4 linked regions of the Styela clava genome follow. The protein of the gene in region 2 binds, or shares a complex with, the protein of the main gene of each other region. Links are inferred from orthologs where the notes say so. Each region holds a gene or a part of one and is shown on either strand. Other genes may lie near its edges. The genes, in order: nuclear pore complex protein Nup93-like, E3 SUMO-protein ligase RanBP2-like, nuclear pore complex protein Nup160-like and nuclear pore complex protein Nup85-like.

What was found.
Region 1: E3 SUMO-protein ligase RanBP2-like (region 2) and nuclear pore complex protein Nup93-like share a complex: the UniProt entries of both Homo sapiens proteins name them as parts of the nuclear pore complex. The link is inferred for Styela clava from reciprocal best matches to the Homo sapiens genes RANBP2 and NUP93.
Region 3: E3 SUMO-protein ligase RanBP2-like (region 2) and nuclear pore complex protein Nup160-like share a complex: the UniProt entries of both Homo sapiens proteins name them as parts of the nuclear pore complex. The link is inferred for Styela clava from reciprocal best matches to the Homo sapiens genes RANBP2 and NUP160.
Region 4: E3 SUMO-protein ligase RanBP2-like (region 2) and nuclear pore complex protein Nup85-like share a complex: the UniProt entries of both Homo sapiens proteins name them as parts of the nuclear pore complex. The link is inferred for Styela clava from reciprocal best matches to the Homo sapiens genes RANBP2 and NUP85.

The regions. Positions count from the first base shown.
Region 1 is NC_135264.1:9,869,908-9,877,266, forward strand, and holds the start of nuclear pore complex protein Nup93-like, read left to right. Parts: upstream 1-4,064; 5' UTR 4,065-4,278; coding exon 4,279-6,699; 3' UTR 6,700-7,359. UniProt on the Homo sapiens protein: Plays a role in the nuclear pore complex (NPC) assembly and/or maintenance. May anchor nucleoporins, but not NUP153 and TPR, to the NPC. During renal development, regulates podocyte migration and proliferation through SMAD4 signaling.
Region 2 is NC_135258.1:17,858,274-17,866,193, reverse strand, and holds the start of E3 SUMO-protein ligase RanBP2-like, read left to right. Parts: upstream 1-4,786; 5' UTR 4,787-4,828; coding exon 4,829-4,900; intron 4,901-5,594; coding exon 5,595-5,801; intron 5,802-6,664; coding exon 6,665-6,796; intron 6,797-7,120; coding exon 7,121-7,240; intron 7,241-7,307; coding exon 7,308-7,427; intron 7,428-7,917; coding exon 7,918-7,920. Other genes in the region: dehydrogenase/reductase SDR family protein 7-like, read left to right, coding at 2,705-3,631. UniProt on the Homo sapiens protein: E3 SUMO-protein ligase which facilitates SUMO1 and SUMO2 conjugation by UBE2I. Involved in transport factor (Ran-GTP, karyopherin)-mediated protein import via the F-G repeat-containing domain which acts as a docking site for substrates.
Region 3 is NC_135250.1:6,156,742-6,165,086, reverse strand, and holds the start of nuclear pore complex protein Nup160-like, read left to right. Parts: upstream 1-5,295; 5' UTR 5,296-5,317; coding exon 5,318-8,345. Other genes in the region: GA-binding protein alpha chain-like, read left to right, coding at 2,663-3,889. UniProt on the Homo sapiens protein: Functions as a component of the nuclear pore complex (NPC). Involved in poly(A)+ RNA transport.
Region 4 is NC_135263.1:560,280-568,169, forward strand, and holds nuclear pore complex protein Nup85-like, read right to left. Parts: upstream 3,331-7,890; 5' UTR 3,237-3,330; coding exon 1,299-3,236; 3' UTR 568-1,298; downstream 1-567. UniProt on the Homo sapiens protein: Essential component of the nuclear pore complex (NPC) that seems to be required for NPC assembly and maintenance. As part of the NPC Nup107-160 subcomplex plays a role in RNA export and in tethering NUP96/Nup98 and NUP153 to the nucleus.

The sequences.
Region 1 (7,359 bases), on a different chromosome or scaffold from region 2:
CCAAACATTATTTCTACAGTTTGTCGCTAATTTTGAGAGTGTTTGTGCGACTTTGGATACCGGTACTGTTCAGTACATCCGCGTAAAATTATTGGATAAAAAATACGTTGAACCAGAGCAAAATGGACATACTTTGTCATTAATTTTGGTAGTGTTTTTACCTAGAATTAATGGATAAAAAATATGTCAAATTAGAGCAAAATGGACGTTTGACCTTTGACCCCAAACATTATTTTCATACTTTGTCACTAATTTTGGGAGTGTTTGAGCAACTTTAGATACCGGTACTGTTCAGTACATTCGTGTAAAATTATTGTATGAAAAATACGCTGAATCAGAGCCGTACTTGGCCATTAGTGCGGAGGCGATCTTTTCGTCCATAACTATTCTCACGGGATTCCTATTTCCTATCATTCAACACGATATGGACCTTTCCCCGAGCATCGACTTCCTTGTTTACTTCGTGACATTGGCCAATCAGCAAGATGCAAAAAAGGACGTAACAATGAGAGGAATTTTTCGCGGGTCAAAGCCGTAGGCTTGCACGTAATTGACAAAAATCAATTCCGTAATTACGGCAAAATCAATTACGTAATGACCCCGTAATTGTGATATTTTTCCACGCATTTAAACCTATCATAACAACCAATTGAATCCACTTCTTTTCCGAATGGGACATTGAAGTTGGGTTTTCATATTCTTGGCAGTACTACACGCCATCGGCAGATGTTAAAGACAAATATCAAGGAGTGAATTCAAATTAATTTTATTCTGATTTTTATCTTTTGTGTTAGCTTTGATTTCCTTTATCACCTTCGCAAATTAACCGTCCCATTTTTATGCGATCAATTTTATTTTATCATTACCGACACTGGTATACGGTTATTTATGGAAACGATAGTTTTTTAAAACCACCTTAGTACTGAATAAAAATTAAGGGTTTCTAATTTATTAACCAACGACGAGCGTATTCACTCATTTGATTATACTTGCGATTTCCTCGCGACGAAGACTTGTTTTTGCAGCGTCTTCTGCATTATCCGACATTACTGCCTTGTTAGCATTTTATAATAATAATTATTGATGTCGACTTATTGACGATATTCCGATTACCATGCTTCATTTTACATTTAATCATTTCGCGGACTGAATGTTTAAAACATTATTTGCGATAAATTTAGATTAAATATTATTTATTTGAGTATAGTTTAAATATCGAACTTATATGATATGCCTTCTCCGAAAATACAAAAGTTATATCGCAAAACAATGCATTTTGTGACATTTATTTTACACTCACGACATTAATTTGCTAACTCAAGTCGGCGATCCTATCGGCCAAGATTGACACAAGTTTGGTCGAGTGCCTTGGTATTCAAGTAGACGATAAATCAAAATAAGTTGCCGCATTTGGTAAGACAGTTAATCATACATGGCCGAAATATTGAGAGGAATTGTGAAAAACATCATGCGCAAGACCAAGTCCGGACTGATATATAACGATAAAACCGTTAACAGAACATCAAGATTTTGTAATAGAAAATGGATCTCGCACAGAATAAACACACTGGCTCATATTTGATTATATATGATAGCAGTTAAATTTTTTTGCGGTCCGCGAGGAATCCGTCGTTTTGCTGTTTCTCTGCCGTCTCAATCGCTTTACCGATGCCGAGAAGACGAAGTTGCGTTGGTTCATTACGCAATCTCTCTTTTGTCGTCATATTGCTATTTGATAAGCGCGACATTAATTATCACGGCGAGGTATTGGCGCGAGTGATCAATCGCTCTTTTGGCTTATTTGGTTCCAATTCGTCGCGAAAGCTCTTCGTTAAATTTCACAAAATCGTCGTGTTGAAAGGTTATGGATATTTTCCTGTTTATACCCAAGTATGAAATAAAACAGCCAAAAACAGTATGATATTCCATGTTCATATATCAAGTGTTGATATTAACATTAAAGAATGGTTAAGCATTGCTAATCCACACTTGGTGGGGAATTCCCACTATTTAAACGCGTGACTATAAAATAAAATGAAATAGAAACGGAACATATATACCATAAGTAACGGAAAACTGGAACAAGTAAATAATAAATAAAAGTAAAATGGATACAAATGTTTGATAGACCATGTTTGAAAGATTGATCTCCTGCGTTCATTAGTCATTTCACCCGAAGAAGTTGAAACCGGGCGTGTTAGCGTCCATCGGTCTTAACACAATTCTTCCCCCTATCTACGGTTATTATGTACATTGGCCATGGCCATGCTAGATAAGATGCGAGAGAAGTTGAAACCAGGTGTGTTGGCGTCAATCGGTCTTAACGCAATTCTATCCCTTATCTACGGTTAAGTTACGGGAGAAGTTAAAACCAGGTGTGTTGGCGTCAAACGGTCTTAACGCAATTCTATCCCCTATCTACGGTTAAGTTACGGGAGAAGTTAAAACCAGGTGTGTTAGCGTCAATCGGTCTCAACGCAATTCTATCTTTTATCTACGGTTAAGTTACGGGAGAAGTTAAAACCAGGTGTGTTGGCGTCAAACGGCCCTACTCAGTTCTTCCCCCTTAACTACGTTAATAATTTACATTGGCCATGCCAGAGAAGTTGATAATAGGTTAGTGAATGGCAACGCGTCATGCCCTCCTTCACCTACGTAACAAGAGAGAGAAAAACGGCTGCGAATACCGGAACTCTAACTTCTACTTGTTGAGCTTTCATTTTTCGCAATCGACGAAATTGACTGCTTTGAAGAAAGCTCGTTTCAATGCAATAATTACGACTTTACGGAATTCGTAACTTCCCTTCCGTAACTCAAAATAATTACGTAATTCCGTAAATCCGTAAATTACGTGCAAGCCTAGTCAAAGGTTGGGGAAAGGTCCATGGTCTTTTTGCTTCGCAATATTTCGATCAGACCAAATCTTGCAGGCTGGTATTTGTCGACAATTGTGGAGTTATAATATTTTGGCATCTTTATATTACTGGATTATTGATTTTAAAACCATTTAAACCGATTTACATTGGTGAGCAATTGCAAATTTTCGGCGTGCAAAATTGATTTCGCTCGCGTGCATTTTTGCGGAGCGCTAGCGCCCTCGGGCGTGCACCTGCCATGGAATCCAGTCTGGGGGTACGGTAGGCCTACCTACTGCTGTACTGTGAAAATACTGCAATACTGGTACCGTACCTCTAGTCTCTCTTCTCTGCAAAATAGGATGCACCCACCACCTTCTTCTTTTGCATCTATTTTTTTTTTTATCCTTGCGTCTTTTCAGCCACAACAGTAATCCCAATTTTTGATGTTTGCTCAAAGCCATCGCCAAACCACAGAACAAAGCACCGGAACTCAACTCAAATCTCAGACAACGCAGCGCGTCAACGCAAAGGAATGTTTCCTCGAGAATTCGTTGCGTTGACGCAGTGCGCCAAAATGATGCGTTAACGCAACAACGCAAGTTTACTTAAACAATTAAAGAATAACGCACTGGTGTGAACAGATGTGAATGGGCCCTTACATTGTATTGTAAAAAACAATTTTGCAACGAACGCATAAACGGTAAAATAATAGTGTCAAACGTTTAAACAGCGCAGTTATGAATTTAGTATCTTGTAATTTATTATTCATAAAATTATCCCAGTTTTTCGGCTGATATAAGATTAACTAAACTTTGATTTTCTAAGTTCTGTAATCCCGCCCAAAATCAGGACAGACAACAGCTATACTCTGACTCCCACTACCGGTGAATCTACATGGCTGATTAAAAAAAATTTATTTGTCACAAGACACAATAACTAACAGGAATAAGGCAAAGCTCTGCGACGTGGACGCGTTCGGCAATATTTTGCTGTTTTGTGAGTAATATGTTTCAGTTTAGGATACATTTTTTATTTAGGCGTTATGTAGATGCAGGTTTTTTTGCTATAATATATATATTTAGATAGTTTACTTTGAATATTCCGGAGTACCGGTACCGTACACAACAAAGTTGGAGAATTCTTGCTTATTGTGCTTTTGTTGTTGTTCAACCTCTGTACCACTTACCGGTAGACTACCTGGCTACAGACTTATCGCAGAACCGAAACCGGTACCGTACCGGCACGTGCTATTAATTCCAATGTTTATTTAACTGCTGAGCTGTGTTTAAATTGTTGATATCATAGTAGACTAGCCTACAGTGCACTGATTTTCCAATGAAACACTTTTTGACATAAGTTACCGTAAGTCATTTCCAATATAAAGTTTTAGATTATAGTAATTAATATTCAACCTAAAATCATGTCTGGTGTTGAACTTGACGATATTTTACAACAAGCAGAACGACTGACAGCGGATCTTGATGGTGGTAACGAGTTACCAAGAGTCCAGCGTAACCTTCAACAAATTTTGGACGCTGGACAAAGACTCTGTTCTGGAACCCCAGCAACCCATGATAATGCAGAAGTCAGGGCTTCATTGCTTCTTAGTAGACGTGGGCATGAAATTCCGCAAATTTCTGATAGACTGAGGACGTTAACATCAGCTGCACAGACCTTAGAGCCATTGGAACCAGTATGTGATACTGATATTGAAGGCTTTCTTCGAAATGAACGAGAAAATGCTATACTTGCTGTTCTAGAAGAACAAAAAAGTAAGGCTTTTCAAGCTGTTGAAAAATATTATTGGCAATCTAGAATGAGTGAGTGGGAAAAACAAAAGCAGAGTATACTTGGGAAGCTTATTGGCAGCGATGGAACTTTGAATTTCACCCAAGAATTTTCTGAAGCTGGAAGAGTAGTTGATGACTACAATACTTCTCGTTCGGTTTCTCGGAGTGCTATGGATACTTGGGAAGTTGGTTATGCACAACAAGTTTACATCTATAATGAAAAAGTATTATCTGGATCGATTCGACCAAATTTCGTAGATTTGTGTCAAATAACGGCTGAAAAAATACGAGATGAAAATATTATTTCGCTATGGAATATGGTGAAATATGTCCTGAATGCTGAAATATCTGTAGCGGACAAATCTGTCCTTGCAAGAAGATTGTCAAAAAATGTAATCTCTTCTGTCGTTGGCCAAGCTCGAAGTTATTTAGAAGACATGTACAGAGATTACATGATGAAATGTGTGCATCAGCGCCCTCATGTGGCACAACTTGGTGGACGACCAGGCACTATCAATCTTGTTAAAAGTTTTTTGAAGGTAAAGCCTCCGCATCAAGTTCATGAATACAGAAATATCGATTGGGCGATTTTGTATTTTTGTCTTCGATGCGGAGATCTCGAAGCTGCTTGTGAAGTTGCGCAATCTTTGGATGGGACTTTCCCAGAGCTTTCAGGTTGGATTAACGAGTATGCTAAAGATCGTACTTTGTCTCCAACTTCTGAAAATAAATTATTATTACAATACAAAAGATCAATTCGAAATGCTGGAAATCCATATGCAATCGCTATATTTTGTATTCTCGGTCATTGCGATTTTATGGAGTCACATACAGAAATCGCTGGAACAACTGATGACTATTTATGGGTAAAGTTATGTCAAGTTGTCGTTGAAAAGTCCTCTTCAACGCAATCCGAAGTTTTGACCTTGCTAACGCTTCAAAAACTTCTCTCCGATTATGGAGAATCCCACTTCAACGCTACTTCAAACCCTCTACTGTATTTCCAAGTATTGTTTTTGACTTACCAATTTGAAGCAGCGATTGAATTTTTGTCTCGATTTCCGAGTTTACGATGCCATGCATTGCATGTAGCACTAGCGCTTCACGAAGCAAATCTATTGGTGAAAGCAACCAATCTACATGACGGGTTGATCAGTTCCAAGCCATCTGACCAATCTCAATTCACGAATGTACAACGACTAAATTTACCAAGATTGTTAATGATGTACACTCGGAAATTTGAGTTGACTGACCCAAGAGAGGCGTTAAATTACTTGTACTTTCTCAGAGATGAGAGACATGAAAATGAGAGTCTCTTCTTGCAATGTACGAGCGAGCTGATTCGTGAAACAGGCGAATTCTCGATGCTTTTAGGGGGTTTGAATCCTGATGGTAGCCGGCGCCCTGGATTAGTGGATAGATATTGTGCTGGTGACACAAAGGAATTGATTGCAAAAGTCGCTGCAGATACGGAAGCCAAAGGTCTCTTTGAAGATGCCATCCGATTGTATGACCTATGTGGAAATTATGATAATGTTATTACGCTTCTAAATAGGCTTATGTGTCCTCTACTACCGTCTGCCGACCGTGCCCATTCTGACCGAGTTCGTATCAAAGATCTTGCTGTTTCAATTGCTCAGAGATATCGCTCACTTGCCGTTGAGCTTTCACAGGATCTGAGTTCCACGTTTTACGTTCTGCTTGACCTCCTGACCTTTTTTGACCAGTATCACCTTCGTCGTTACGACACCGCAATGGATATTATAAATCAACTTCATATCTTGCCAACTAAGCCTGAGCAAGTTCAAGACAGGGTGAGAAATTTTTCTGCGTTTTCCGAGGAAGTTCGTCAAAACATTGGGGAAATTCTGCTAGCTACGATGAACATGTTAGCATCTCAGAAAAAGGCTCTGCAAAGCAATAAAATCTTAGAAGTTGGGGCGACACGTTCTTACGCAAGTGCTTTACTGACTTTTGCTGGAATGCTTCCATACCAGTTACCTGGAGATATCACATCAAAACTAGTGCAAATTGAGGTTGATATGATGTGAGAGGACATATTATAAGTACACTGAAATGTCCAAAATCGATTGAATATTCGAGACCATTCGAAATGGGTTGGCAAATGTATGACTTAAGAGGTATCAGAATATTTTCATTTGGATATTTGTCAATTTGGGTATTTGACATCTGACACTATCAATTTACCATGATTTCTGCAAATTTCTCTGCTGAATATGATATTCCACATTCAAAAATATTATCACAGAATGTATGGCTTTTATTAATTTTGGCCTGTAAGCATAAGGTATGTTGCTTGAATGCCAAACACTATCCATTTTGATCAACTTGGTACAATCACACTGATATCAAAATTTACATTGTAAACATTGACGCTTGGCAACAAATAAGTGCTAATGCTAGTCTGTGTATATTTGCTTTGTAAAATTTCCTGATATTAATTTCTCAATAGAATGTCTCAAGTGGTAACCATACAATACTGTATATTTTTATTGATGAACAGGGGGTGCCACCACTCTTAGGTCTTTTGAAGGAGACAACGCTACACATCATAAAATTTTGAGAACTACTGGCCTAAGCTAATAGTTTTGTTGGTAGAAAGTTTATTTTCGAGTTCAAAGTCTGTTAAAAATAATCCTTTTTGCAGCAATGTTAACTCTGCAATCAGTTCATTTACATAACTTGTGTTT
Region 2 (7,920 bases):
TATTGACGCGCCGCCACTGTGTACCGGTATGTATGTTTATTTGTCTCAAAAATGTAACAATTTAGCGAATTGTAGCCATGAACTCGAATTTGTATGTGCTTCATTAACTTGATTCATAAGATATTGTTGTTTTTGTTATTTACGGTAGGTATGAGTTTATTTCGAATCCATGATCAGCATAAAACGGGCCCCGCAAGTAAAAAAAAGGTCAAATAAATAATAAAAACTGATTATAGAATCAAGGTAGCAAACTAAACCATAAGTACAGTTTATGACCTATGCGTGCTACATAATACGTGTGAGCTGGAGGGTTTTTACATAACACAAGTGCTTCGTGTTCAGCCATCCAAAGGTACCGGTATGTGTGGCCACAGAGATATAACAAAGTCCAAAAAAATGAGAAATTACATAGTAAAAATATTCCAGGGTCAAGGGTCGGGGAAACAACCTGTTCCCCTTGTCATAATGGCGCGAGAGTTTCTCTATGTCCAATGTGGCCAATCGCCAATCTGCCAATGGCTGAAATGAGCCAGGTGTATATCAATAGTTCAACTGAAATCATAAAACGGTACCAGGTGTATGCGGTTCTGATCTTTGGCTATTATTAGCATAATATTATTATGATAATATACACCTGTTACCGGTACCGTACAGTGTTACCTTACCGGTAACGGTAACAGTACTGTGTTACGATCGGTTTGGGAGAAAATAGAAAGACTGAAAGATAGATACCGCCATACCGGTACTGTGTTGCGATCGGTTTGGGAGAAAATAGAAAGACTGAAAGATAGATACCGCCATACAGCCATACCGGTCCCAGTTCCGGTAATTTATTTTGAAAATTCCACATTAATACAGTACGGTACCGGTACAGCGGTACAGATTAAAAATAGAGAATTCTATAGAGCGAGTAAAACTTCCAAGTTTAAAACATGAGAAAGAATACCGGTACCAAAAACAAAATTACGGTAGGGCCTACTTAAATTTATTAAACTGGGCTGTACAGTCCTCCGCTCAGCCGATTACGAGATATCTTGTTGGACAGTTGGATCCATATCATACAATAAACACATTCTGACATTTGTCTCGTGAACGAGAGCACCTGATACCGGTATGACTATAAATCTGACAAATGCATGAAATACCTGAATGTGTTAACTAGATGGTAATACTTGTCACATTACTGCATTACAGCATTAAAACTGTAGCCTAATAACATATAGCTTACCTGTATCAATAAGATCAATCGCGATGTGCAGATGTGCAGATGTGCATCGGCCATGGCCATTCAGCCATTAGCCTGCCATATCACCAAAATTCATAGTTGCTATTTGGTGATAATAAAAATCACTACAGCATTACCAGCATTACCGTATGGCACACTATACAGATCGAGCGACATTGTCTCGTTCCAGAGACACCCATTTTACAGATGATCAGACACCCCTCTTTTGGGAGAGGAAGCTGATTTTTTTCTTCTAATTTTTCCCAATTAGCTTCAATTATTACCTAATGCTGTAATGGCCTCTTTAATATCCCAAACATGTTAACACGCTTTTCCCTAACTTAACCAACATACCTGGCAATGATAAAGCAAATCTTGTTGATCGATTTCTTCTTTACTATTGCCTTCACAACATTATTGAGCTGCACAAATCGTCTTAATAATGGATGATGCAGTGCAAGAAAATTACATCCGTCTACGGGCTTCCTAGTTTCATCTTATCACAGTATCATGAATTTCAGAATTTGTTTGAGCAAACGGACGTTTTTTCATTTAAGTTTGGAGATCTATTTGTAGTCCTATTTCAGTATTTGTAATTTCATTCCAAGGCAGTTTTAGGTTGTCTGTTCCACCAGACACTTTGAGATATATGTCTGTTCCTCATGTTTTCCCATGATCGCACACAACAAGTGCACGAAGAGAAAGAAAAAAGTGTGAAAAGCATGTCATGAAATCCTACAGGAGTGGTGACTCCTCTACGGCCTATGGGCCGGGGCCACGGCCCATCTAATTGGGTCACATGGGCCGTGGCCCATAGCTTGATGGGCCGCGGCCCCATCAGGAAAAAATCGATTATCTTAACAAAATTTTTAATTTTTACCAAACTGTCAATATTCGAACCAAAAAAATATACTCCTGTAGTATGTGTTCCAGGTTAGGGTTAGGACAAAAAAATTCAGATTTTTTACATTATAGTTCTATTATGAGTTCGGGGACTGTCTGTGTTAGCCAAGTGAATAGTTTCTTTACACAACTTGATGGGCCGCGGCCCATAGCCTGATGGGCCGAGGCCCAATTCGATGGGCTGTGGCCAACAACAAGTGCACGAAGAGAAAGAAAAAAGTGCGAAAAGCATGTCATGAAATCGAGTGAGCGAGAAAACGTAAAGTTTTGTTAACGTTTCATTATTGAATGAAAGTCTGTAGCAAACTAAAATACAACTTACGCAGAATTGGGTAAAGCAAGTAGAAATTTATGTCAGCATCAGGTGGCCAGATTGTATCACCAAACAAGCCGGATTTGGCTCACGGTCCGTAGTTTGCACATGTCAGGCTTAGAGTATTTCAATATACTGATATATTTTTTTTGTTTTCTAATATTTTTGAACACAGGCTGCCTGTTATAGGCTCTCACCTGTTGGCATTTACATTTACGTTATCCAAATTCCATTTTACAGTTTTTTTTAATACGGGTCGAGAGATGGACCTGTCATATGAGACTGCTTTATATTTAGCTGCACTAATAGCACCTGCTGCTTTATTTTCTTTAAAATATGCCTTCCGCCAATTCACTTCATTGGGAAGTGACAAAGTGGTTGTTATAACGGGGGCGAGTTCTGGTATTGGAAAAGAATGTGCTAAAGAATTTTTTAAAGCTGGTTGTCAAGTGATTTTATGTTCCAGGAATGTAGACAAATTGGAAGAATTAAAAAATGAGTTGATTAATATGAACAATTGTGAAGATAGGCCTGAACCTTGCGTGATTCCTCTAGATATTTCAAATGAACAGAGCATCCAGGATGCTGTTGATTCAGTGAATCGTAAATTTCCTGACGGAATTCATATATTAATTAACAATGCTGGGATGTCATATCGTGGTAACATTCTGAGTACTTCCATGGATGTTCACAAAAAGTTGATGGAAACAAATTACTTTGGGCATGTCTCCTTGACAACACGTCTTTTACCTAGTATGATTAAGTTGCCACATAGTTGTGAAAAATACAAAGCTCACATTTTGTCTATAAACAGTATACAGGGACAAATATCAATTCCACATCGATCAGCATACAGTGCATCTAAATTTGCATGCACAGCATTTTTTTCTTGTTTGCGTTCCGAAGTGGCACGTTTTGGAATAAATGTCTGCTCTGTTTATCCTGGATATGTTAAAACAAGTTTGTCTCTAAATGCCATGACTGGGGATGGTACCAATTACGGTAAAATGGATGCCACTACTGAAAGTGGAATGGAGCCTTGTAATATTGCGAAACAAGTTGTAAGCGCGATCCGCAATAATCAAGAAGAAGTTTCAATTGCGACTTTAAAATTAAGACTAGTAGTTTGGCTCCGATATTTGTTTCCTTCTATATTTTTTTGGATCATGAAAAAACGTGCTAATCGATAGATCTTCTTTCTTATATTAGTGTAGCTTTAAATTTCATTATCAGATCAAATTTTCATTATTTATTTCATATTGAAAATATGAATACCTTTTATTTTTTAGTCGGTCTTTTCTGTTGCTCATATAATGTATTTTGCTCAATTTAAAACAATATATCTTTCGATTTCATGCAATCCAGTCTTCAACCATTTCACTTCTGAATTTTCTTGGTAGAGATACATCCCACTGTAAGATTTCACAGCAATATTTCCAAGATTTTTCCCTCTTCAAGGTTATTAAAATATAGCTTATAAAAATTGACTACCGTAATTATTATAATAATAAATGCGAAAAGTGTAGATCGTGAAGTAAACCTTGGGAATAAACTTGCTAGTGAATGTGCTCAGTGATTTTTGATGGGCTTTCATACTTTATGCATAGCCTGATTATACTATAAGACATAAGTTTAATCAGGTTGCTTCATATGCTGTCTTGTATCCTGTGCTAATTACTTTTAAATTCTTGTTTGAGTTAAATCAATTTGAATGACTTCATTATCGTCATGAAAAGGAAAATGCAGTGTTTTTGTCCAATTTATAAAATTTGTAAACTGCGTATTATTAAAATTATCTTCATGTCATTTTTTGTTGTATACAAGATTTATTAAGTTTTATTTACTTAAATTTAAACTAGCATACTGTTATGTATGGCGAAAATCTCTTAGTGCGAGTATTTATTTCTATTTGCATTGGACTTTTTTTCCCCGAGACCGGGAGCTCAGGAGGCTGAAGTCCTCAGTCGTAGATATACATGCCGCTAATCCGAAATATATATAGGGGGCAATGTTGATACTTGTTTGATTTATTGATTTTACTATCAGATCTGTTTGTTTTCTTTAATGTAAATAGCCTGAATAACCCTAATCACTATCTATTGTGTATAAAATCAACCAAATACTGTTTTATCTGTTTGGATAATAGAATACCACCATAAGGTTGTTACAATACCACCATAAGGTTGTTTTTTTATAGATATATTTTTGACAATACATATCAAGTGTCAAAAAAAAATAGTGCAATAAAGCATTGCAGTATTCATCAATTATTTAATTTGGCTGAAGCATAATGATGATTCACTATACCTTGATTGGCTTTTGATGATGTAAATTCTTATTTTATTAGTTGTATCTAAACTACATTAAATTTAAATTTACCACTACTAATGTCAAGATCAATTGAACAAGTTGAAGCGCTTGTATCAAAAGCAGTGAGATATGCAAAATCTGAAAAAGAAGTAAGTAGTTTACCTTGTTGTATTAGTGCATTACATCTATTTTAGAAGTTGCATTGTAAAAATGTGAGGGAATTGTTTTTTTCTAGATTTTCCTAATTCTTAGGGAACCGACGGAATCAGACAGTGTGTAATTATCATATTGCAATAACACAAATTATGATTGTTCATCAGATATATTGGATCTCCGCATTAGGAGACCCTTATTCTCAATTGTTCTGTCTGTATAGCAGTAGCTGTCTAAACTTCCGGACCCAACCGGGTAAAATTTCTAAAGTGGGTTATGCAGTCACCCTAGTAATATGCTTTTCACCGAAAGTCCGGATTGTTGTTTTATTTCCATGGCATCAGTGAAAAACGTGATAATCATTGAGAAATTACTAGATCTTTCTTAATTTGTCGCCATTATTTCGTAAACTACCTTGAAAATATAAATTTTAGTGAACGTGATTAATTATACGCCGCAGTATATCGCTGATGAAAAAGATACCAACAAGACGTGCACCACTCAAAATGAATGCATCAACGGTTATCCTGGGCGCCTATCGACTTGTTTCATTTCGATTGGTGTCTGTTAAACGATTATGCTATAAGTGAAATTTTCTGAAGTTTGTACATTTACTCAGAGAAGGAACCCAATCACTCAACACTGTCATTAATAAGTTGTAAATCATGCTTTTTATTTATCATTTTCCAGCTTTCCATAAAGGGGCTCAATTTTGGTCGATGGTGGAATGAGGTTGGGGAATATGAGAAAGCTTCAAAATGGATTACTAGATATCTTGTTATTTATGACAAGGATGCAAAAGCTCACAAACTACTTGGCGAAATTTATGAAAAATTAGACAGAAGCGATGCCGCTCTTGCTTGTTACAAAAGCTCACTGCGGGTCAAACCACAGCAGGTGTGTATTTTCTTTTGAACTTTTGTTGTCTACTTATTGGCTTGTTGCTTCAGTTTTAAATGGAACTGTTAATGAAAGTTCCATCAATTCCACCAAGGAAATAATTACAGTAGTTACCGGTAGTTCATAAGTCTACCTCGACCTGAACTCTATATTCAAGCATTGATTCATTATACCATTTGCTTATCTGAATTTAGTTTCAGTGTCTTATCATATCAGAAATTTGATATCAAGCAAGCAACTGTATGGTGGCATGTAATATTAGTAATACAATGATAATTTTCGAAATTTAGTTTCAGCTTGTTCATTTATACAGTCACGTTTGTCCAAAGTTATTGATCAGTGAATTTGGTTGATCACTTTTCCTTGTCCCATACTTGAATCAATACCACGAATAAAACAAACTTTTATCCTTCATTGCTTATACTTGTTATGCATTTCTGAAATGTATCTGATCATTATTTTTGTTTTAATGAGTTTATTCTTGTTTTCAATAATCAACTAATGACAAAATAGAATACTTCTTGAATGAATTATTGAAAATTTTCAAATATAAAAAATATCTATCTGTCCCATTGCTGTAAAATAAGTTTTGTGTTTTGAATATTTGATCACTGTTATTAACGATATAATATACCAGTATTTCTAGCAAAAACTGCTAATATACGGTTCCGGATTTTAGCAATATTTCAAGATGCACTGGGACTCCTGATGGATTGGGACTCCAGGGATTGAAAAAAAGAGTGATTATATCATTATCCCTAATCAAAACCAGTGTTCATAACTTGTCACCTGCAAAGGAGCACAAAGAGAAAAACACTGATATGTTCAATTATGTCATGGACTTCTTTGTTATATTTCAGTACGAGCTGATGTTGAAGGTAGCAGAAATGCACATTAATCCTGGACCAACACAGAATCCAAATCGAGCACAAGTTTGGTTGGATAAAGCGGCAGTTGCTTTACCTAATCATCCACAAGTCTACAAACTAAAGGTATGAACGTTTTAGATAACAGTTACGTTTTCTACATGTTTTTGTGCGTCAGAAAATGTATCTAATTCAATTGTAAAAAACTGTTTTACAATCATAATGAACGTTAGAATAAATATTTCGGTACACCGCTCAAAAGTTTATCCCATGTCCTATGAATGATCAAACTAAAATTTGATATATAAAAATGAATAATATTGTTATTTTGTTAATTAATTCACATTTTTCCAATTATCACTTTGAGTAGGTATATCTCATGTGATATATTGTGGACTACTGCCATTGTTGTAACTTGGCTACACTTATTTCAATGACTTTCTATTTTAGATGGAACTATATCTTGCACAAGAAGCTCCTTCTTCCAGACTCGAAGAGACTATTCTTCAAGAACTGAAGAAGCGGCCAAATGATCCGTCACTTTATGTTGAATACGTTACTTTTTTGAAGGTGTGTGGCAAAAAATGTTTTCTATGTTTGATAAAGAAATTACTGAATTATTAAATTTGCTTCTCAGAATCAAGAAAGACTAAATGAAGCTTTTGCTTTCGTGGAAAAAATAGAACATGACTATTCAATACCGAAAGTTGTGGAAAAGGATATGGAATGGAACCAATGTCTGGTTGATACATGCAAGGTATGAAGCTAGAAAAATACTGTCGAATGAATTGTTAGGAATTGCATCTGAACAATGTTTGTGGTTTCATTCCTATCTATTCGGCTTATTATTAATGTACTTGTTGGTATTACGGGTAACAAATCTCACTCACTCACTCACGGGCCATGTAAGTGTGACGTAACAAGTTAAATTTTATGAACAATATTAACAGTTTTGCAAAAGTAGAAAACATTAGGCTTGTGCCAAAACTAAAGTTAGTCGTAATCTCAACAAATTCCTTGAGCTATTTTTCCACTTGAACATCAAAATTTGGTTTAGTTTGTCTGTGGCAGCATCAGGCGGGCCAGAATGAATTGGCCGAATTTGTCCTGCGGGCCGTAGTTTACCTGTTTCAGCTGTATATTGTAGACTTCTCAATTTGAATGGAACACAACAGAAATATTCTAGCACAAAGGAATTTCAATTCCCTAGCTTTGTCAAACATCATTTCTATATTCTTGTTCATTAGGAT
Region 3 (8,345 bases), on a different chromosome or scaffold from region 2:
ATAGTTTAATATTCGAATATATGCCCAGTCCTACTCATTAAGCAGTAATTATTGACTCGAATAATGCTATGTGGATAAACTTGCCTTTCATGTTTTATGTAAATTCCAACGTATTATTGGGCTGATAGTTGAGTTTCGCAAAAACGTTTGCAGCCCGCAGTGAATTTCTGGCTCGTTGCGGACTCATTTGAGACCGCGGACTCGGGATGGGAAACCTTGCCCTAAAGGAATTCCAGGAGTTGCGCTCTACACGCGTCCCGTTTACCAAACTCTAGACTTTTTCAGACTCAGCAAAGTTCCAGGTTTGGGCGGTTCAACTACGCCAATGATATTATTGAAGCGTACATCGAGGAAACATGTCATAAGGTTTTCTGCTTTTAATAGGTGTTTGTCTGGAATAGCAAATGGTGATCGATGATAGTCCTACAACAACATCGATCGATTTTAGTCCTACTATGAGTTCAAAGACTAGCCAAGTGCCTCTCGTAGTATTTGTACCTAAAATTATGGCCTAACCCTAACCTAGTACACATATTACATTCCGATGTCCGCCAACTTGGTTCGCATACTTCAGGAGCCCCCAAAATTGCGTATGTCCCCAAGTCACAGTCACATTTCTGCCCAAGTCACAGTGCGCCATTATGACGTCATTTAACTGCGTCATACAAATTAACTTAAATCCAGCTACGATCAAAATATTGAACCATGACAAATTATTGACTCTCAATGACATAACAATATCATTAGAAAGTTTTTTACGTTTTTCTCAAAACTGCTAAAAATGACTTACGCAATTCGGTTATTAGCGTGACGATATCTTATTCCTAACCCCCCACCTGACTATGCCATCCAAAAATTACGTCACTACGACGTCACCATCACGTCATAGGGATTGCCAAAGTATAATTACGATCGCCCAAAATAGCATATGCGCCGCCGATAACGCGATCTTTCTCCTATCGTGATCGTTGCGACGAGAAAACGAGAGAAATAGCTTGCTCGATTTCTGGTGATTGTCTGCGTGCTTTGGACGACCATCCGCATACTTCGGTGGGCCTTATTGCGCCACTGTGATGTAGGAATGACGTAATTTTTCGGTGACGTAGTCAGGTGGGGGTTAGGATTGACATATGCAAAAATTGATGAGCCAGGCCAACTAGAAGTGGATGTGGTACTAAACTATACCAGACCCCTGCAGTACTGGTAAGGTACCGCAGTGAATTACGCTCTCAGCTTTTCGTTACAGTTCTGATGTAAACAACATAAATTTTGTTGCCTACCTTATTTTTTTTTTATTTGATAAGAGGAAATAAATTGAGTTCTTATATGACAAGGAAGAACCGTTCTTCGAACGAATTTCAGGTACTGGTTAGTTACCGCATATGATTATCGGGGAATCGATATTTATTTTTATTTTGCTCTGGTACCGTAATGGATAAGTGATTTAAATCACTTAGTATTTCAATTCACATTGAAAGTGGGACAAAACAGGCTTTTAGTGGCCCGGAGTAGGCTACCTGTCAATCAAGTCATCGATCTAGTCACACGAGCTGTTTTGGCGTTTAGAGACCGTTTGCCCGGGTAACGGGAATTTTTTGGGAAGTGGCATTAGGGGTGGAGGCAGTGCCTCCGCCTCCTCAGTGGTGAGAAAACGTGTGGAAAGCCACGTCCACTTGTTACCTAATCCTATAAAGTCGCTTTTCTCTTTAATTCCTGGACCAATGTATGTATTGCTCTGAAATTTTCAGTGCATGAAGATAAAAATTTTCTTTAGAAGGATATTACTTTCATTTACTTCAAACGTGTCCATATATTTGAGCATATCTCTCTTGTTGGGTTAAGCATGGCTAACTTCTTATATCTAATGGAATTATTTTGATATTACTGATATATATGTTCTTAATGTTTGTTCACTTGTGGTACACAATATGTCTTTATTTATACTTAATTTATCGATTGTTTACTTCTTGAATAATCCACATTGTGGATCCATTTAAAAAAAAATTCAACATTCTAATATTATTCGAAAATAAGTAAAAGTATATATTTAGGTTATAAGTTTATTTCGACTCCATAATCAGAAATAATAAGATAAAAGTAACTGATTATAGAATCGGGAGAGCGAACTAAACCCCGAGTAAGGTTTGAAACGTACAGATTTTAGATGGAAAGGTATTGATAAAAGAAGTAGTACGTGTTCGCTCACCCAAATTTTGAAGTTTTTTTGAACTCTAGTTCAGCAGTTTTATTCATCTGTTTATTTACTATTCATATCTGCGTATACGTATATACGGTAGATTAATAGTAGAATACCAGTATGTAGATATAAATATCTTAAGAATAGGAAAAATTATGTTGTGATAGAACTGGGACGAATTGGCCAGTCAACAATTCTCACCTAGTTTCCAGCATAAACCATACCGGTACCGGTATTCGTTTAGCTAACCAGTTACAGAATTAGCGATGAAGGTCATTCGTTTGTTCTGATATACCTGTATACTGTGTATGAACTATCATTTGGTGAAGTGGTAGCGGTATGCCAAGCATAATATTATTCTTAATAATATAACGTTACCAGTAAAGATATGGTTTTCGCTAATTTCCTGAAATGTTTTATGTTATACAGTCATAGAATAATCTCACTTGTCTAAACTAAATAGAAATGGAACAAAAAAGACGAAAAGTGAATCGGAAATCTGGGATGCCAGCGAAGTTACATAATGGATCCCACACTGATTCTGTTATCACTATTGAACTGGATACTGGAGTGGAAATATTGAATATTCAGCAATTGGTTGAAAATCGTTTACAATCTGCGGATTTGAGTGATTATGAAATTTATTTACAAGATATTCCACTTAATCCACAACTGAGTTTGTATCAGCAAGGCGTAAAGGTTTCGGGAAGTGTCGAACTCAGTATTCGAGTACAAACTGATAATGGGCGATTGACTATTGTTGAAATTACGAAAAATATGACCGATGAAGACATTCAAGCGTTGAACGGTCAACAAAGTGGACTCTCAGAAAATGGACATTCTAATAACGAAGATTCATCAGAAAATAAAGAGGAACTTGGTATTCCTTGTGACCCAATGGAATGGACATCAGATCAAGTATTTCGCTGGATGGTCTGGGTGGCAAAGGAATTTAATTTAGATGCTTCTGTCATTAAAAATTCTAGAATGGATGGAAAGAAATTATGTTCATTAACGATTGAAGAATTTTTTGTGAAACTGCCATATGGAAATATTTTATGGTCACACTTGTCGTTTTTGAAAAGATTATCAACGAACGATGGTGAACATAATGTAGAAATAGAAAACGATTCTGAAAATATGGCTTTAAATTTAGTTCTAAATGATCAACAAACGAACATATCAGGCAATTACGCACGGCGGGCTCCAAGAAGAACGCCGGCTATAATTTCATCAGACAAAGGTGCTCCAATCAGTACACGTTCTCACAACAGCGGAGGCCAAATTCAACTTTGGCAATTTTTGTTGGAACTTTTAACAGACGCAGACGAACGACACGTCATAATGTGGTTGGGAGATGAAGGGGAATTCAAATTTTTACAACCCGAAATGGTGGCTCAAAAATGGGGTGAAAGAAAAGGCAAGCCCACTATGAATTATGAAAAACTTTCTCGGGCTCTGCGTTATTATTACGATGGCGATATGATCAGTAAAGTACCTTCAAAGCGCTTCGTTTATAAATTTGTTTGCAATTTGAAAGAATTACTAGGTTATGATGCAGGAGAATTGAATAAAATGGTAACTGATTGTTCGAATAAACGAAAAGAACAATCGTCTGATCAAAATGTTGTGCCAGTCAATGGCGACTGTATGATAAATGGTATCGCATTGTCTAGTCTTGTCAATCAATGATGCTTTTCTATAATTCGAAGCCGTTTTGTTAATAATGATATTGCTGTTAAATGGTATCTGTAAATAATATATATCTGTTAAATTTTGATAATTTGCTCAATATCACATACGCCATATTTTTGTTGCCGAATATGTCTTTGTTTGCCATAAAAATAATTTTGGTAAAAATCTTTGTTTGGGGAAATATATGAAATGATACAACAGTAAAGTTCCCACTGATTTCAAATGTCACTGAGAAATTCTTATCCTTAAATGGTCCTGAATCATATAAATATAGTTTCTAAACTCATAATAGCATTTTTGCTAATTTTATGTACCTATGCTAATTTTAAACATACCCAAAATAATACATTGTTAGGATGGCTTGGATTTTTGGTCCCGATTCATTTGAATATATTTTGCGGGTTTTCAGAAGTCATAGTGTTCTAATACTAACCTGATCATTTCAATCACAATTTGAAAATCGTGGTTCGACTTAAGTTATTTGATGATTTGAATTTGAGTGTCAGTATTTTAGTATTCTTTCAGTTTGCTACTCAATTTGATTTATGTAGCATGTATTGTATATTTGCATAACATGAATCATAAATGCGCTATATAACAATTCAATTTTAAGAACACAGCAGTTGATAAAAAATCGTTATAAATACTATTTGTTGGAATTGTACCCTTATTCGCCAGTCTTGGTATTAATAAGGTTATTTTGATTTTCGGCTCAAACTACAGTATTAATTTATTGAACAATTCCTCAAAGCAATTATTTTCTACCAAACCTGGACCAAAACTATGAAAAATGTGGAAATTATTTGATTTTTGTGACTTATGTTCCAACTGTCTGGTTTGCTTCAAATATGATTGTCAATGTCAGCAATATTGTGGCCAGCTCAATTTTCAGATGAAATATTTGTATAACTGTTTTTTTAAATTTTTTTGGTGGTTTGGGTTTGACATCATATTTGAAGATATTTATTTACAAAATGAATAAATGGGTGACGGGTAACAATTTATGCAATCATTTCACCGACTCTGTACCCTCTGCCTTTTGAATGAATGTAATTCCTTTTAGAATTAAAAAAACCAATCGATTTGGTGCCAACTAATATGACTAGCTTAGCTACTAATATTTCAAATGTAAAATTTGAATTTGATTTTTGTACAAAAAATCATCCCATGCAAAAAAATTAGTCAAAGTTATTATTTGGAATGCATTAGTGTCATGTCAAAACACTTTATATTTGTGATTATAACCTGATAAGTATTCTATACTTTCTTCTATTGCCATTTAATTATTCAACTATTACCGGTATGTATTGATACTATTTGTGATGTTGATTTGGTGCTACATGTTATTTTTCTAGCAACTCACTGCAAAGTAAACGCCATGATTTATATATTTTTTCTTTTAGATAGTGTTTGTAATATAACATCATGGATATAAAGGATCCAGCCTTGTTTCTTCAAGAAATTCCTATACATTCAAAGTTTTCGCAAAGACCTGCTCAAGAAATTTCAGTTCCTGAAGGAGAAGGTCCAGTCGATGCATCCGAGAATGTTACATTTCCTGAATCCGGTGGTGGTGTGACCTTACAATTGCAAGATTCAACGAGAGTGATTTGTTGGCGCACTCAAAAAAATTCTCTGGAAATTTTTGAATATTCTCTCGATGTGGATTTGTTTTCTTCACATTTTATCATCAGTTTCGAAGGAACTAAAATAATACCTGGAGTTGATGTATCGCTGTTCAAAAATCGCTTATACATCACTTGTTGTACTCTTCATGCAGTTCATCGTATGTCAATTGATACTTTGTCAACTGGGCGATCTGGACCAAAGTCAGGGGTCAGTTATCCATCTTTACTTTCAAATTTAGCGACTTTCAATTTTGAAAATGAGTTTGAAAACTTCTATTTTGGCGAAAAAATTCAGGGACTTGTAACAGAATGGTCAGTAAGAACGATGCTTCCGGATAAAGGTGACCCATACACTGCTGTTGCGTTGAAAACCAATCAAGGCAATATGGCGCTTGTTAACATGACAAGTCGCTCTCCTCCAACTATTGCAAATATCTACCAAGCGTCAAGGATGTCACGAATATGGTCCGGTATTAATCCATGGGGTGAAGCAGCCGGCACTGAAACTATCTCTGATATTGCAATACTCGTGATTGAAAATCACCCATACGTCGTTGCAGCATGTAAAGACCGTAAACTGCGACTTTGGTCTTTTGAAACCCATGATATGCTTGTGAATTATGACCTATCAGCACATTTTCAAGATGATGGTGACAAATCGAAAGCTGTGGATCTCAAAGTAAGAGTTGTCAACGAAGTTGGAATGATAAGCTTATATATTTGTATGTCGGATCAAGCAGGATTCCTTCAATTTCAAGTGAAAATGGATTCAAGCACTGGTACTTTGGAAACTAATTTTTTGTCCGTTGTTTTTGCTTCCCTTTCACCACAAGGACTACCACACCGCCATCTGGTTGATTATTTTTTAACAGAAACAAATAAAATATTTACTTTGTGGCGTGATACTGAAGAAGTAGATTCTATTTCAGTGTGTGCTGCTGATGTAGGTGTATGGCATGAAGTCGCTTCACACCCATCACCAGTTCTAGAAATTCCACTTCTTCCATATCAGGATGTCGGAGAGGCCTACATGGATTACATATTTAGCTCAGGTAAATTCAGCCCTGTAGCATTGACTCGAACGTTATCTATTCATCAGAGATCAAACGTATCGAACATGGCGTATCTCCAACCACAAGAATTGAAGGAAAGAGTTGCCGCACATATTCAAAATGCGATTCAAGAAATAATTCCGGATGAAGAAATGGATGAGGATGCTTTGCAAGTCTCAGTGTGGAACTCATTTTATCAAGATCTAATTCAATATCAGCAAGTTGTGTCTCGTTCTTTGGGGCTGATAATCAATCACGGTTCTTCACAGAGTCTTGTATCCGTCATCAAAAAAGGTTATCTTATGATATTAGCCCCCGTTTCACCACTTGAAGCTGTTTGCCGTGGATCTGATCCGGATATTTTTCGAACATTTTTACAGCCGGACGATTGCACAGATGCCAATCTCAATGACTTAGCTCAATTATTGGAAAGCCTTGGAAAATTACATAGTTATTTAGGAGCGGAATTAGTAGAGTCAATACAGCAGAGCTTATGTTTGGCTGGCAATTCCCCACCTGATGTCATAGAAGATATGATGCCAGATATTCAGGGTGCTGTAAGAGAATCATCAGGAAACGACACATGGGATAATCTTATCATCAAAATTAATGATGTTTCGTCTGCTGTCAAAATGCTAACGCTCTGCTTAAGCCCTTCAGAATTTGCATTCGATTTTGATATGCCAGATTTACAATCTTGGCCAGCAGGGTCACTGGGGGTTGAATTTATATCGCGTTGTATTATGCGACATGTTGAAAATCGTTTCCAACTCTCCATCCTGCTTTATGTACTTTCCTCATTGCTAGAAACTCTACAGAGGCAAGATGGTCATATACAACAAGAAGGAGACACTCAATTAGGATTCCGAATTGTTAGTTTTGTGCAAGCTTATCAAGCTATGTTCTGGTTATCTACTGTTCAAACACAAAACATATCACAGGCAACTTTAGAAAGCACCATGCAAACTTTATCCGTGCATGATTCAACACTTAGCATAGACCGAGAGGCAAAATCCACACTTGCGCAAGGACACCAAACCGTACTTGAATTCTTTATTTCATCTGATGGAGGTAAGCTCTTACAAGCATATCTGCAGAACCAACAAGGACAAGGTATTCACATCCTACATTCAGGATTGGTTACAAATTTTGTCAACTTTGTCGTTTACCTTATGTGGCCGCTTGGGCCTACACTCACCCTGCTAGATTTTTTGCTCTCTCATGGACACTACACTGTCCTTCAAAGATACATCCAGCGAGAGCTTGGCGATTGGTGCAACTGGAGCACAAAGTCTCAAAGATACATGCTAGCGCACTGTCATCTTCATAATGGAAACTTTGATAAAGCCGTTCAATCCTTTATCATGGCATCGTCAGGGATTAGCAATGAGGATTATCTCGCTAACAAACTGCTGAAAGAAGATGAAGAAAACTTCCACCCAGCAGCTCAAGAAATTATCTATTATACCAAAGTTTTACCGATATTTGAGAGATTAGATTTACCTGAACAAGTGATTACTTTGGCAGAACATGCCATTCAAGTTGCAAAATCACAAGAGCATGATCCGAATGTGTCCATTTTGTGGTCGAGTATATTTCGACAGAGTAACCTACTACAGCGGCATTGTAATGCACTGAAAGCAATAGTACTAAACCCAGATCCTGATCATAGAAAAGATTGCTTGAGAACTCTTGCTGTCTCACTTTGTGAACATAAGAAATACAAAACACTGGTCGAATTCCAATATGGAGAATTAGAAGGCGATTTAGTCA
Region 4 (7,890 bases), on a different chromosome or scaffold from region 2:
CCAGAGGGCTGAGGAACCCCTGTTCAATAGTTTAATTGGCTGAATTGTATAAACTATGGCCAACCAATTAAGTAGCTGATTATATTCAAACAATATAAATATATATTACTATGAACTCTTTTGAATTTGAATGGAAACTTGCGGAACGCCTGTACAGGCAGAAAGAACCCTGCGGAACCATGGTTGAAGACCACTGTATTGAGATATGGGATTTGCAACAGATGATTTGAGAAGGCTTGTTCGTTATCAATTTACTATAAGCTGAAGTCGACATTTTTATGAAGTCAGTTTTAAATGGTTGTTGAGGTAGAATCTGACCTCACAGCCTAGATTTTGGGAGTAGTAACAAAATCGTTCCACTCGTGTTTCCGCTGTCCTAATGAGCCACATTGACTTCTATCTTGCACAATAAACCAACATTATTTCACAAAAATGCTTATAACTAGTCACAATCCAGTCCGTTATTCCTCTGCCCCACTTTTTACAGTACATCTTGCATAAGATGAAAAACTTAGAACAAGGGTAAACCAGAACAACCCCATCCATACATGCAAAACACGGAAACAATTCAGTACAAAGCATTATATTGAGCAAAGAATTACCAATTCTCAAAAAACAGGCAGCACATTGCAAAGATTAATCAAGCACAAAAATAAGTTGAAACTAATTTTCATGGAATGTTTTACCATGAACAGGGCCTGGAAAGGAGCCACTGATACCACCTGGGCCCGTGGGTATAAAACCCGACCTGACCGGAGCCCGACTGATTAACTGGATTTGCAGGCAGAGATCGAATCGAACCAAAAATTTCATATTTTATTTAGGAGTTCTTCGAATTCCACACATAGTTTTAGTATATATTTTTTATAAACATATATTTATTTCAAAAAAAAGTCAGCGATAGAGAAGCCCGACCCGAACGTAATGATCAACATTTCAGGCCTGACCTGACCCGAATTTCGGATCGGGCTTCAGATCTTACCGGTAGTTCCAATTGACCCTCTTCAATTAGAAAGATATGGTAAAATGAGAGAAAAACATTTCACTGGTAGCAAAGATGGTGAAACAGAATATTTTATTCTGGAAAATTATAATTTTGAACAATTTGGAGCATCATCGTTTTATTCCTGGAATGCGGAAATAGAAAACAGTTAAAATTACTGCATTAATCTTTCCTGCATTTTCAAATTAAACTCATCGAAATGTCTTTGCTAAACACGACTCACTTTAAAAACATTCGTTATTTAAATATTTTTAGCAGATAATCCGACTTTGTCCATCCCTGGTTTGAACATTCTTTACCCCGCATTGACAATAGCTCTGGCTAAATTCCTTGACATATTTAGTTTAAGTAATTCCAGTCGTTTTTGTCGAGTTTCTTTCTCAGAGTCCGATAATTCTGAGTCTAAATTGATTTGGTCGAGAGTGTTTGATTTAGCGAGTAACTTGGCAGAGTCTGAAGCGTTGAACACGATCTCCTCACACTCAAGAAGAGGGAGACAGTCAATGAGTAGCGACGGCCAAAACTCAACAGGCGCTATATTTGAGATGAGTAGGTTGAGAAGTAGATTCCCAGATTCCTTGTGCATGCCTTCGGCGTAAAGTTTGTGAAAATCCCGATATTTTCCTAAAAACGTCAATCGATCTGATAACAGAATTGAAGGTCCTAAATAATCCAGCAAATCGATATGAGTGAATTCACCAGTTCGAGCGTATTCCGACAACATTTTTTCTGCAATTCGCATCGTTAAGGCTGAATCATTGCATTTTAAACACCACGATAAAGCAGCGCCCAAACGATTTCGCTGTAGCGCTGATACACTCATTTGTCGACAGATACTTTGTGCTTCTGCAAGCAATCCTCGATTTTGGCAAATACGTAACAATTTTGAAGCTTTTTTCTCGCTTGTAATTGGAATTTTTCGCACAAATAGAGAGAGATAGTTATTCTCGTTCTCCGAGCATGCTGACAAATAATCAATCGTAACTCTCCATAGACTTTCATGTGACATGAGACTCGTTGCGTACTCCAGAATCAAAAGTTCATGAAAATCGACCCCAAACTCTAATTTCTTTTGCGACAGAATCCCAAGATGGTAAAAAATGTCGGATAAATGAGCAGCCAACCACCAGTTACTCAACTGCTGACTGCATTCTTTAATAACAGAATACGGATCGAGTTCGAAGGCCGCAAGTAAAATATGATCAAAAGCTCCGAGGTGTTCATGTCCACCGCACGATTCAACAGATATTTTACTATGATGCTGTAACTCCATGACGCTGACGGTCGGTTGTGTGAAAAGTAGTCTCGATATCAACATTTGATGCCATCCGCCATAATCGGGATTCTCAAAAACAGCGTCTTCTCCGCATAAAATCATCGCAATTTCTTGTAATTCCTTGTTAACATTAAACTCTCCTTCGTCAAACCTACGACGACACTCCTCTTGCCAGTGGTTCCATTTCATCTCGAATTCGACGACTGATTGTCCGCGATAGTACGTAAAATGTGGCATTTTTCGCAGCAACTCTTCCATACTTAAAAATGCGTTATCTTTTTGACTCTGGCACTCTGGGTGAAGTTTCAACATGTTTTGGGCGTCGTCCGTTCGACCTTGAAGGACGAGACACTTGATGGTGCTCCAGTACAATTCATGATTATATGGTTGTTCCGTTTGAATGCATTCTTCCATAAAATCATCCGCTTGGGTGAAATGAAACTTGCACCATTCCGCAAGACGAGACAATACAACTCCCGCCGGGGAATTTTCGATGAAAAGTATTTCGCATAAATTCCAGATTATTTCCATCATACTCAGCAGTTCTAATTGCATGACCAATTGAACGTCCTCCATTATACTTTCCTCAATTTTAGATTTTATTTCGAGAACGCAAGCTCGCAAAACAGAACGATATTTCCGACTGAATTTCACAAGTAACTGTTGACCTTGACTACTTTTTTGAAAGTCATTTCTCGCTTCTTGCACTTCGATAAAAATTCGATGTGATTCGTTCAAAAGCTTCCGAGTAATGTCTAAATGCATTTCATTACTCCAGCGTACCTCGTGTATAAGAATTGGCAAATGAGCAAGTTGATTGGGTCGTTCTGACCCCACGTCACCCCCAGCTGCGACCATCATTTGATTTCCGACCCCCCAGCTACTTAAAATCCCACACGGATCAAAAAGTTTGTCGTTTATGTTCATCTCATTGACAAATTCCTCATTGTCAGCCATCTTGTTTTTCTATGATTGCCAAATCCAATATAGTAATATCAAAAAATTGTTTTAGTGTTTCAACTGAAAATATATAAAGAACCATAATGTAAATTAAAATAATACTGTAAAATAGGATTTCATATTTCAACATTTATTTATACCAATCAGAAATGGTAGTGAAAAACCACGAGCTAACAATTATACGGCAGCAATCTATTTTTTAAATCTGATATTAAAATCACTACAAATACTGAAATATTTTGGTTTTTAACTGAGAATTTGCACAAGACTGAAATGTTAAGATGGGATTTAATAACATTTATTCCTCTGTCTGTCTGTAGACTTGTACAGACAACTGGAAGATTGACTTATGCAGTGTGCTTAAAGCATTGGATTTAGGGCACATTTCTACAATTCCAAGAATAGCCCCCATATTGTCATTGGAAGACCTCATTTCTTTCTGCAATTATAACAGTGAGAGTGAACCCCTTCTTTATGAAACAGTCAGGGCCTGCATATCGACTCAACGTGGCAAACTGGCACCGCGTAATAAACTAGAAGGAAGCCGTCACCATTGGATTCCTCGAGAAAAAATAATTTAATTTTGAAACGGTAGAGGAAAAGCATAAGACCGGAAGTTAGGCAATATGGCAGAAATCCAATATTTCAAATCTGAGGCCTTTTTTATTTATACTTATTCAGTTAAAATTAGCAAATTATGCAAAAAACTTACGATATTATAAACCTACTTATTATTCAAATTATTGCTTAATATTATTGCACATAAATTTCGTAATTCCATTCAAAGGGTTTGTCTTGTCTACTACATATTTTTTCTCTACACTAGGGCCATTTTTATCTTCTTTTTAAGGAAGTAAGGAGAGCAATAGGGTCTAGTATAGTTTAGTACCACAAGTACTTCCGGAGGGCGTAGCATAACGAATTTTGCATATGTTATTCCTAACCCCCACCTGACTATGCCATCCAAAAATTATGTCACTACGACGTCACCATCACGTCATAGGGCTTGCTGAAGTATAATTACGATTGCCCGAAATGGCATCTGCGCCGCCAATCTCGCAAACGCCCGCGATCTCTCTCTTATTGGGATCGTTGTGGCGAGAGAACGAGAGAAATAGCTTGCTCAATTTCGGGTGATTGTCTACGCGTTTCGGACGACTATCCGCATACTTTGGTGGGCCTTATTACGCCACTGTGACTTCGAAATGACCTAATTTTTCGGTGATATAGTCAGGTGAGGGTTAGAATTGACTTATGCAAAAATTGTTAAGCCAGGCCAACTAGAAGTGCGTGTGGTACTAAACTATACCAGACCCGAGCAATATCTGGTGTTTATTTTCAAATATGATAAAATTTCTCATAATCCAAACATTATATCGCACTATTGATAATAAAAGTAAAATTACATTCAAATCTACAGTTGTTAGGCTATATGACTAAATATAAAGGTTCAGGAAAATTCAATAATATACAAGAATCATAATTTATTGCAAACAAAATGTATTCTAATTAATTTCAATAATAAAGTAAACAAAATCATAAATTTTCTGGGTAAACTCGCAAGACATAAAAATATGTGACACAAACTCAGGTTTTTTATTGCATGATAAACGCATTTATTTTTCTGCAACTCTTTTGACAGTTTGATCTCTGGTATATTTATATTACTGGTGGAAATGCTGAAAAAGGTCTCAAATCTGATATTAAAATCACTATCTGCATAGGCCTATATCTACATATCTAGCCAGCACAAAATTGGGGAGTGGAAGTGGTGATTCCTCTACGGCCCATGGGCCGGGGCCACGGCCCATCGAATTGGGCCTCGGCCCATCAGGCTATGGGCCGCGGCCCATCAAGTTGTGCAAAGGGACTATTCACTTGGCTAACACAGAAGTCCCCAAACTCATAATAGAACTATAATGTGGAAAATCTGAACAAAATTTTGTCCTAACCCTAACCTGGTACACAGACTACAGGAGTATCCTTTTCTGTAGCCTGGTATTTTGCTTTATTTTTATATGAAGGCTTATCGTAAGAAAAAAAATTGGTGGCATCCAACGATTTTTTTTTGGTTCGAATATTTACAATTTTGTGAAAATTGAAAATTTTGGTAAGATAATTGAACTTTTCTTGATGGGGCCACGGCCCATGTGGCCCAATTAGATGGGCCGTGGCCCCGGCCCATGGGCCGTAGAGGAATCACCACCCCTGTAGAAATTGGGTTTGCCAAATCGCAGAATGGATAAATGACTGAAGACGGCTGTATAGACGTCCTGTTAAAAATATTGTCAAACGAATATAAAAAGGAATATGAATTTTCGGCAAAAATAAAGTGTAATTGAAGTTATACAATTCTATTTTACACTTTTCAACTCGAATATATACGGTAATTACTAAATTGAGGAAGCCGTAATATGTAAGCCAAAGGAAAAACTGAAGCACAACAGTATGATATGCGCGCCAACGGAATCAATGTGCCAAAAGATGGCGCTAATACATCACAAATGCATAGGATTCCATGTGCCAAAGAAAGAAAATGAATAAAACGATTTCGCTGGCATTGCGGTGGCCGTTGAACGACCTAGGATAGGATAGGATAGAATTTACATATTTATCCCGGGGGAAAGGAAAGCCGATAAGACGGCTTACTGATGACCCCCAAAGGTCGTATCGTTGCCCCTCAGTCATATACCGAAAACTATTTTTTTGATAATTGTTTATGTGTCCATAAATTGTTTTCTTGATTTGACAAAATGAAAATGAAATAAACTCTCCCTCTCTCGCTTATCCATATGGCGAACCACGACCTCTCGTCCGGTTACCATTCCGAGTCGGGTATGGGATTAGTTAAATTGTTTGTTTTCGGAAGCATGGACTTGGTGGTGGAGGAAGCCGTAACCGACCAGCGGTTACGTGAACCACCCAACGACGGCGAGGAGTCCAGCAATCCTCTCGCACATAATCATCCCTGCATGGGATTCGAACCTGCGAACCCATGCAGAGTAATTAGAGGTGCGGTGGCGAGCGTATTCCTAACGCTTAGCCCGTTGAGCCACACCGCCGCGCCCATACCTAATACTACAGTAGGGTTGCCAACCGTCCTTCATTTCAAAGGACAATCTTTTAATTAAGATTTTTGGTCCTTGCCTTTTTTAGCATTTAGAAAAGATGCTAACTGTCCAATTTTATTAACATTGTTTGGGTCATTGTTAAATAAACATAAAATAAAAAAACACATAAAATTTGTTTTAATATATCTTTTCAGCTTATATATCGTTTTTATTCAATTGTTTTATATTGTTCTTTCCTGCAAGATACAAAATAAATGATGACGGTAATCTATGTCCTTTATCGAAACTTTTCTTAGTTGGCAACCCTATACTACAGCGAATGACGTTTTATTGATCTTTTACTAGTTCAGGGCAAATATAGCAATGGATTGCCAATTTGCTGATTTCGAGCACGCGCATTTCATACCTAGGATTGTGTTTTTGCTTAATTATTTGTGAGTTGCTTGTCGAGTGCATGACCCCCCCTTGAAAATTGCTGGCTACGCCCCTGCACCTTCTAATGACAAAAAGCTCATTATTTCTTCAGCAGGGATATTCGGCACCTAATCGCGTTTCTAGTGTCAAATCAATATTTCCAATATAGACTTTCATCTCTTCGCGATAAACATCAATACCTACCTCGGGGAGCTACTCAATTGGCAACTTAAAATTGATGTGTTCGTTAGAATTTTTCTTACTGTTGTTTGCAATAAATCGCTTTTCTGCGCGACTCGTACATTTAAAATGTTTAGTGCTTGAAGCCCTGTGATTAAACTATGCATTTAAGTTTTGTTTGCAAAGTGAAATATATTGTCTGGAATGACCCTTGTTACTCCGCCTGTCATGACTGAAGTCGTTTTCTTCCATTGGCGAGAGTGACACCTGACACCGGGACGCCCAAATGTACCTCAAAGTCCTGCTTTTGTTAATATTCTATGTATGACTTTTTTCATCATAACTCTACTCCCTTCACACTGAAATGCATTTTTTCGGCATATGTGAAAAGATAAACTACCGACCAATTGACTGGGCCCCAGAAATTTTAAAGCTCTATGTAGGGATCTTCGATGAAAAAATTTGGGTAGTCCTGCCCTATCCCATGAATCTTCTAAAAAATTAAACGTCTACCGCCACGTCGAGTAACGCGGCGAAAATCGTATGACAGACATGAAAATATTTTTCTTTGAATTTTTAATATAAAATAAATAAAACATTGCAATATGTAATATAAATGAAACTTTAAAATAAACAGACGTAAACAGAATGATAAATAAAAATCAAGTACGAGGTTCAAAACACAGGAAAATTATCTACAAACGATACAGTGAAACAATTTGAACTTTGAAGGTTTTCCAAGCATTTCGACTATCTTATTTTTCCGTACAAAGGGGCGTCTCTTAACTTAACGTTAAAATATACCAAAAAACTTCACATCAGGGTCGTGCAGGCTCTGCCAGTCTTCATTATGATCGCTAAAAGCATTTTATGACCCTAAATCGGAGTCTTTATAATATGAAATATTTAAAATAGCGATAGCTTTTTATGGTCAAGTCCATTTTAAACCAACAACTGGCTATCTAATCCCATACCCGAAATGGATT